Ovis aries: one gene and its partner. The protein of the gene in region 1 purifies or fractionates together with the protein of each later gene. This does not show direct contact. Links are inferred from orthologs where the notes say so. Each region holds a gene or a part of one and is shown on either strand. Other genes may lie near its edges. The genes, in order: PTPN5 and MAPK3.

Region 1 (3,798 bases):
AGCAGCTTCCTTTTTCCCCTGAAAGAGAGGCTGGGCTGCCACATCTTCTAAGTGCTGTGGGACTGGTCAGGGACCACTGGGCATTTACTTTTGTCCGTAACCTTTACAAGCACCTGCCCTGAGCCTGGTTCTGGGTTGGGTACTGGGAAAACACAGAGCTGTCCAAAGCCTGGACTCTCTCCTCAAGGAGCACCTATAAAATGGTAAGTACTGACCTACAAATAAGTAAAAGCACAGAAGAAGGACATGTTGTCAGCTAGGGTGCTCAGGGAGGGCTTCCTGGAAGTGGTGGTGCTGAATGGGGTTCCGAAGGATAAGAGTTGGCTGGGGGGCAGACATGTAGAGAGAGCATTCCAGACAAAGGGAAACTAAAAGTAAGGGCACAGAAGATAGAACAGCTCTGTGTATAAATGTACAGGGAATGGGGGAAGCAGAGATTTGATCAACAAACCATCTGGAGTGCAAAGGCATCAAGTACAGGTTCACAGGAGGACTTGGGCTTGGAGAGGTAGACGCTGTACCATGTGTCTTGTTTGCCCGAATGAAGAGTAGGGAGGGTGTGTTTGAGTTTTAGAGCAACAAGAGCTATCAGAGCGTTCTGAGCGGTAGAACAGGATGGGCTGTAGACAGGCCTTCTGGACCACTGTGGATCTGAGCGATCAGAGAGGAGGAGGGGAGGGCCCCACACAGTCGAGAGAACAAAGTGAAGGTGGTGGTGGAGAGGATAGCACTGGAACACTGGCTGGGGGGGACCAGGGGTACTGGTGGGCAGGAAAGTATATTGAGGCAACAGGAAGGGTCCCAGGGCTCTTGTGGGGGTGACTGGGCTATCTGTGAAGGGGCAACCAGGAGACAGGAGTGAAATGGAGAAGGGGCTCTTCACCTCTCTTGGAAGATCCTGGAGTCACTGGGGCAAAACCCATGTGAAGACCAGTGCTGACGCTGCTCACCAGTCCCCACTGCCCAGCTGGCCTCGGGTCTCTGGCTGCTGCCTCTGGGCTGTACGGGGTAGATGGCAGAGGTCCGAGGTCCCACTCCCTGTGGCCTCCCTCCTGTGCTTCCTTCTCCCTTCCCATCTCTATCTCTGGGCTGGTGGCTGGGCTCAGTTCACGTGTATCTGGGGTGGGCCTCTGTCTCCTGGACAGAGCGGGACAGAAGAGCGAGGCCTGAAGCATTACTGGTTCACGTCCTGGCCCGACCAGAAGACCCCAGACCGCGCGCCCCCACTCCTGCACCTGGTGCGGGAGGTGGAGGAGGCGGCCCAGCAGGAGGGGCCCCGCTGCGCCCCCATCGTGGTGCACTGCAGGTGGGTCCTCCCAGACACCCACTGGGGCGTGGCGGGGCTCCCCGGCGGCCCCACCCCTCACCCCCGTGCCCTGGGCCCTCAGCGCAGGGATTGGGAGGACTGGCTGCTTCATCGCCACCAGCATCTGCTGCCAGCAGCTGCGGCACGAGGGCGTGGTGGACATCCTGAAGACCACATGCCAGCTCCGTCAGGACAGGTCAGCTGAGGGTGGGACCCATGGGGAGCTGGGGAGCGGGGGAGAGGGCAACAGAGAGAGCCTGACCTGTGTGCATAGGGTGAAGGTTGGGGGACACACCCCACCGGGACCGACCTGTGGACAGATGGGTGGAGAAGCCAGATCCAGGCAGTTGGTAGCTGGGATGCAGAGGGGAGAGGGACAGAGCTGGTGGACACAGGCGCAGAGGCTGAGAGTGGAGGATCATGCCACCTCTGTCCCCGCTGTCTATGCCAGAGCCAGGAGGGACAGGAAGGGCAGGTGGAAGTGGCTGGCTGGCCAAGGCTGACCTCTCTAAGCTGCACAGAGGCCCTGATGTGCCTCCCAGAGGACTGGCACTCTGTGGGTCTGGGGGCGGCTCCGCAGCCGTTCTTCCATGACCCGGCCCCTTCATCTGTCGGGTAGGGGCGGTATGATCCAGACGTGCGAGCAGTACCAGTTCGTGCACCATGTCATGAGCCTCTACGAGAAGCAGCTGTCCCGCCAGTCCCCGGAGTGACCACACGCCTCCCCGAGGTCCTCTGGTACCTCCCAGCCTGAGTTGGGGCCCTCCTCGCAGCCACACCCAGGGCCCTGCCTCAGGTCCCGGCCTGCTCCCCGTCCCTCCCGCTTCCTCTCTTCAGTTTGCTCCCCCTCCCCCGCTGCCTCGGCCGGACCCCTGCCCCCTCAACATAGCTCTTCCTACTGTACATACTGGGGAGTGGGGAGGGTGGGGGAGGGGTGTGCCAGGCCAGGCCTGGGGCCCCAGGGCCTGACCCAAACCACGTGACCTGGGGCCTCAGTTTTTAACGATGGTTCCACTGCTACTTGATCCAAAACGTTTCCCTGCCGCAACTCCACGTGTCCTGCCGCAGCGTGTTCTGTCTGTCCATCGTCTCTGCTGTCTGTACCGAACACTGTGTCTCCTCAGCCCGGGAGAGGGGTTGTGAGCTCCAGCCCCTCAGGGGCCCTGGCACGGGTGCCTGCCTCAGGCCCCCAGCCCCGCTTCTCCCAGCAGACAGGTTGCACTTTGCCCCTAGTTCCTGGAACCAGGATGGGAAGGAAGGGCCTGAAGACCCCAGAAGTCAGGCACAGGAAAGCCCTGAGGGGTTGGCAGAAAGATCGCAGCTGGGGAGAGGTCTCTGGATGGGGGTGGGGGAGGAGGATCGCATCCAGGGGGACCCCCAGGTATCACACGCCCTCAGCAGGCAGTGACTAGCCTGTGGGGCAATGGTGAGAAAGGGGACACATAGGGGAGAATGAACCCAGGGGGCCTGGGCCAGTGGGAGATGGGAAGCTCTGAGGGTAGGGTGGGAACTCGGCCCCAGATCCGTGTGAAGCACTTTTCTGTGTCGCTTTGGGAGACCCCTCCCAGAAGTCTTGCCGTGTGTAGCTCTGCGTGTGTCCTGTGTTCATGCGTGTGTTGAGAGCCCGTCAGCAGGGCGTGCATGACTCTTTGGCAACATGTGTTATCTTGGAGCCACGTGTTTTTATTGGTGACTTTGAATATTTATTCCATGGCAGACAGAGACATTTGGTGTCTTTTTATAATTTGCTCATGGTCATTGAATAGAGCAATAAATGGAGCATTTTGAGCAAAACTAGCTTCCTGGGTCTGTGTGATTGCCTCTTCCCTCTACTTCCTGCCTCCCTGTACCCCCATCTTCTTGCCCCTCCTACTAGTACAGATGCGCATGCGCACAAAGACACACCCACACACAGGCCTTTGAGATCCCTAGTGCCCCCTTGTGTAGCTTGGGAGATAGCGTGAATCCAGATTTGAAATTCCAAAGTCCACTGAGCATAATTCTCATATACCTGCACCCTCGCACCCAGCCAGAAGCCAGGGGCCCTGCAAAGCCACAGGGACAGATGTTGGAGGCTTTCATAGAAGGAAAAGTGGCTGGCAGGCCACCAGTTTCGACACAGGGGCCAGAGATGCCAAGGTCAGAGCAGGGGGACCTTCAGACTATACAGGCCCCTCCCTGTTGGCCAGCCCACTTATTTGCCCTGCAGGTCCCAACAGCAGCTGCAGCCCAGCAATTTGCCTTGCAAGGCCTGGGCTGAGAGCAGTCCCGCCCAAGGAACCTGGAGAATCTGCCCCTAGACCAAGATCCTGTGCCTTCCAGACACTCCCACTCTATTCTTACCCCAGCCCCCAGGGATGCAGCAAATGTAGCTGTCCTGCCCTTGCTGACAGGGGTGGGTCACCCCAGGGCAAGAGGGAGGCCAGGGCAGGACTGTTGACCCAGGAGCAGGTCCTTACAAGGTCACAGAGCCCTGAGTGGGCTGGTCAAGG
Region 2 (4,382 bases), on another chromosome or scaffold:
TCCAGAGAGCTCTTGCTCTTAACTACTAATTCACACTATCCAGTAATCTTTTATCAGCCCTAGTTCCTAGCTCAGAGCTTTGCACACAGTGCCAGTCAATAGCTTATCAAATGAATAACACCACCAACAAAAAAACCCATTGATCTAATTAGCACATCTTGAACCTTCACTGACTTGTGGGTTCCTGGGAACTAGCAACTCTCAGTGTTACTAATCTGAATTAGAATGCCTGACCATAGATCTAATTATGAGCAATTTCAGAATCATAATTTCTGTTCCATTTTGTCTCTTGATCTTTAGTGCATACAAGGACATACTCCCAGCTTCCAAGGAAGACAAAAACAACGTGATTACTTCCTGAAGCCTAGGAGATGTGTTTTGTGAAGCTCCCAGCTCACATCTTCACTGTGAAGTGGAGATGGATTGGATGGTCTCTTCAGTTTAACAGTCTGGGAGACAGAATGCAATTAAAAAGAACTTCTGCCTGTGTGTCAGAAGATACATGTTAGTCTCAGCTCCTCAACTCTCAGATTTCCCATTCTGTAAAACTTTGATTCACCTATTCCAAAATTTTTGAGTGTCTACATTTGACTGTAGGGATGGGGGTGGGTGGGGGCTACAGCAATGAACAAGACAGACATGGCCCTCTGCTCATCCAGCTCAGAAAACCAGATGACACCTACACTGTGGGGTGGTTCTAATGAAGAAATTAAAGTGGACCAAATGCTGTGTAAACTATGAAGTCTAGCACAGGAGCAAAAGATGATGATCTCGGTTCCAATTTTTGTCAAATCCAAGGACAACAAAAATGTTAGCTATCCTGCTGTTTCTGAGTAAAGCCTGAGAGTGTATTTTTCACCAAACCCAGTCCACGCAGCCCTCACCTCTTCCCTATGCCTCCATGTAAAGGTAGGCTGGGATTATCTGTCCTCAGGATACAGGCACTGCCAGGTTGCTGAGGTCCGGTCCCTAGCCCACTTTGACAGGTCTCCATTCGAAAACCATTAGGCAGGGAGTCAAGATGCCTGGGCTTTCCAGCAATCAAGTTACCTTGCCCAGTCACCTTCAGTTTCCACATCTGTGAAAGAGGCCCCATGTGTGAGGAAGCCACCTGTCACGGCTACTATGAAATAAGCATCATATCACTCGGCATCGGGCCTGGCTCCAGGAGGTTCCACCTCGAGCCCCGGGCTACTCCTCGGGCCGAGTGGGCACAGCGGGGCCACGTGGCCCGGTCTGGGTCCCAGCTCCAGCACTCATTTGCTAGGTGGCTCTGGGTGAGGTCACCGGGCCGCCCTACCGGTCAGCATTCGGTGGCGGGGGTGGGGGGGGAGGGTCTGGACAGTCTCGAGACTGCCCTGGGGAGCTTCTACGTTGACTGGAGCAGACGAGGCCGACAGGTGCCAGGGACCACAGCCCCAGCAGCGGGAAAACGGCGCGCGCGCGGCGGGGAGAGTCACGTGACGCCGCGGGGGCGGACGGGGGCGGGGCCTGGCGCGCGCGGCTCCGCGGGTGAGAGGGCGGGCGGGAAGGGGCGGGGCCTCGGGCGGGGCCGCCGGGGGGAGGCGGGCGGGCGGGAGGGGAGGAGTGGAGATGGCGGCGGCGGCGGCGGCTCAGGGGGGCGGGGGCGGGGAGCCCCGGGGAACTGATGGGGTCGGCCCGGGGGTCCCGGGGGAGGTGGAGATAGTAAAGGGGCAGCCGTTCGACGTGGGCCCGCGCTACACGCAGCTGCAGTACATCGGCGAGGGCGCGTACGGCATGGTCAGGTGAGGGGCGTTCTGGGGGAGGGGGCGTCTCTGGGGAGGGGGCGGAGAGGGGTGCTGAGAGCTCTCTGGGCCTTGCGGACTCTGAGCATCCTGAAGAAGCCGGGGCTTCAGGAGGCTGGGGAGCGTCCCAGGCGGAGGGCCTTTGAGTGCTTTCTGGGGGAGGGGGTCACTGCGTAAGGTCTCAGGAGAGGAGGTTTGGGAGCTTTGAACTGACTATTCAATAATGAAGGGTAGGGCATCAGAGTGTATGTGGGGGAGCTCTGGGGACCTTGGGGACCCCATAATCACGGGGTGAGGAGAAGAGAATTAGTCTTCTTGGGGAGGTGATATCCTTAGTGAAGAAGGAGAGAGGGTCCCCTCACTGGGGAGAGGATGTCTTGGATCACCCCCCAGTGAGGCTTGCCAAGGAGTTTGGGAAAAAAGAGCAAAGCTCAGGGCTGGGTGGGGTGGGGTGGGGCTTTGGGCCTGGGGCCAGGGACCCAGTGAGCCATGAGGGGTCCAGGAACACCTTCCTGCAACTTTTAGGAGGGGTCTGTGAGTTCTCCTATCCGCACTGGGTGCTCTGGGCCTTTGTTCAGCTGGACATAGCTCTGCTGCCCAGGAACCTCCCCCTGACACCCGCCCCGGCCCTGCCTCTCCCTTCTCTCCAGTCCCTCCTCCGACTCCCTCCTTCTCACTGTATTTGCCTCATTGTCCAGTCCTCCACATCTCCCACCCCCTGGACCCGTCTTGGCTTGAGAGAGCCCATCGTGGGAAGGGGAGGATGAGGGGTCAGGGCAGCTCGAATGGAAAGGGTTGAGGAGAGGGGAAGTCAGTGAGCGGTCAGTCTCTTCCTCTGTTTGTGAAGTCACCGAAGGGCTGGCTGGCTGGTCCCCAGCTTTCTCCCTGGAGATCCCAGGCCTTCACAGCAGGAAGGAACTAGCATTGTTTATGACTGGCCAGAGCCCTCTCCTGCTCCCTCCCCGCCCTGCCAAGGCCTGGGTGGGGCCACCGGGCCTGGACACCAACATCTCTCTGGCCCTCTCAGCTCAGCTTACGACCACGTGCGCAAGACTCGAGTGGCCATCAAGAAGATCAGCCCCTTTGAGCATCAGACCTACTGCCAGCGCACGTTGCGAGAGATTCAGATTCTGCTGCGCTTCCGCCATGAGAATGTCATTGGCATCCGAGACATTCTGCGAGCACCCACCCTGGAAGCCATGAGGGATGTGTATCCTTCACCTGGGCCAGACGGCTGGCCAGGCCCAGCCTCAGAGCCGGGCTGGGAGAACAGGGGCTTGTTTTCTCTTCCCTTCTTCCCAACCTCCCTCCAAACAAACCCAGTAAAGGAAACTTTCCAGCGGTCAAGAGGCCACAGTGTAAGAAGGCAGAGAGGCCTCAGATGAATCCTGGCCTGCTGCGGCCAGGCAGTGTGGCCTTGGGCAAGTCTGTTCTCTCGATCTTGGCTTCGTAGGGGGCTGGGCAAGATGAGCCCTGTGGAAGCTTTGTCCTCTGACATCGGCAATTCTGTGAGGAGATCCAGCCTCTGCCCACAGTCAGCTCTTCTGTTTAACTGATGGCAGTTCTTGTTTCTCTGGGTCCTCAGACTGGCAGGAAGGCAGGCGGGAAGAACACTGCCCTGTTTTGAGGGCCTACTGTGAGTCTGGTGCAGCTCAAGCCGAGTGCTTTGACATTTCCTATTCTAACTCCCAACTGCCCTAGGAGATGGGTCTCAGCAGCTCCATTTCAAAGATGAGGAAACTGAGGCTCAGAAAACTGAAATAAAATCAAGTGCTTCTGTGGCTGCCTCTTCCCCTCCCCCAGACAAGAACCTGTCCCCTCTCTGGGACTTCCTGCTCAGAGTCCCACCCCAGTCACCTGTGGACTCGTACCTTGCCCAGGGAGGAACAGACCTGCCTTTGTGGCCCCCCCGACCCACACACACACATTGCTTTCCTAGTTTGTGGGTCCACTTCCTGCCTGGCTCTGTTAGGAGCTTTTACACTCATCACCTCTCCCCTACCCCACCCACCCCCACCATCCCAGTCCTTCCCCCAAGAGTGGTGATCTGTACTGCACTGTTTGCAGCCCCCACCACAAACTGTGGGCAGGAAACTTCCACACTCACCCTCAGCTTGTCGTGTGACCTTAACCAAGTCACTGCAGCATGCCGGGCCTCTTCATCTTTAAAATAGCAGGGTTGGTCCAGGTGTTCTCGGAAGGCCCTTTTGAGGCTGACTCTGAAAGACAGCCATAACTGAGTCTTCCAGAAACAACCCACATGACGTTTATTTGTTTGTTTATGTTTAATTCTTTTTTTATCTTAGAGTATAAAAGGACATTTACTCCTCTGTCTTCGGGTGTAGGGCCAAGCCCCCGGAGTAGGAGCGTGCCGCTGGGAAGTTTCTCCTCATTCGTCTTGCACAAACCATCCCCATAAGGCAGGCATTTATTTTTAAGCAAACATTTATTGCCTGCCAGATGGTGTTCATACATAATCTCATTTAACCTTCTCAACAGCCATGTGGCTCAGTCTTTTATAACAGCAATACTAGTTCACATTTGCCGAACATTTACAACGTGCCAGGCACCAAGCTGGCTGCACTGCCTGGGTCATCTCTCAACTAATCTTTACCA

The links.
Region 2: the proteins of PTPN5 (region 1) and MAPK3 purify together in Homo sapiens (affinity purification with mass spectrometry; 4 studies listed by BioGRID and IntAct, with this or other methods). This does not show direct contact. The link is inferred for Ovis aries from reciprocal best matches to the Homo sapiens genes PTPN5 and MAPK3.

What each region holds. Positions count from the first base shown.
Region 1 is NC_056074.1:23,575,889-23,579,686, forward strand, and holds the end of PTPN5 (tyrosine-protein phosphatase non-receptor type 5), read left to right. Parts: intron 1-1,145; coding exon 1,146-1,306; intron 1,307-1,388; coding exon 1,389-1,502; intron 1,503-1,925; coding exon 1,926-2,019; 3' UTR 2,020-3,103; downstream 3,104-3,798. UniProt on the Homo sapiens protein: May regulate the activity of several effector molecules involved in synaptic plasticity and neuronal cell survival, including MAPKs, Src family kinases and NMDA receptors.
Region 2 is NC_056077.1:26,691,653-26,696,034, forward strand, and holds the start of MAPK3 (mitogen-activated protein kinase 3), read left to right. Parts: upstream 1-1,571; 5' UTR 1,572-1,593; coding exon 1,594-1,766; intron 1,767-2,793; coding exon 2,794-2,976; intron 2,977-4,382.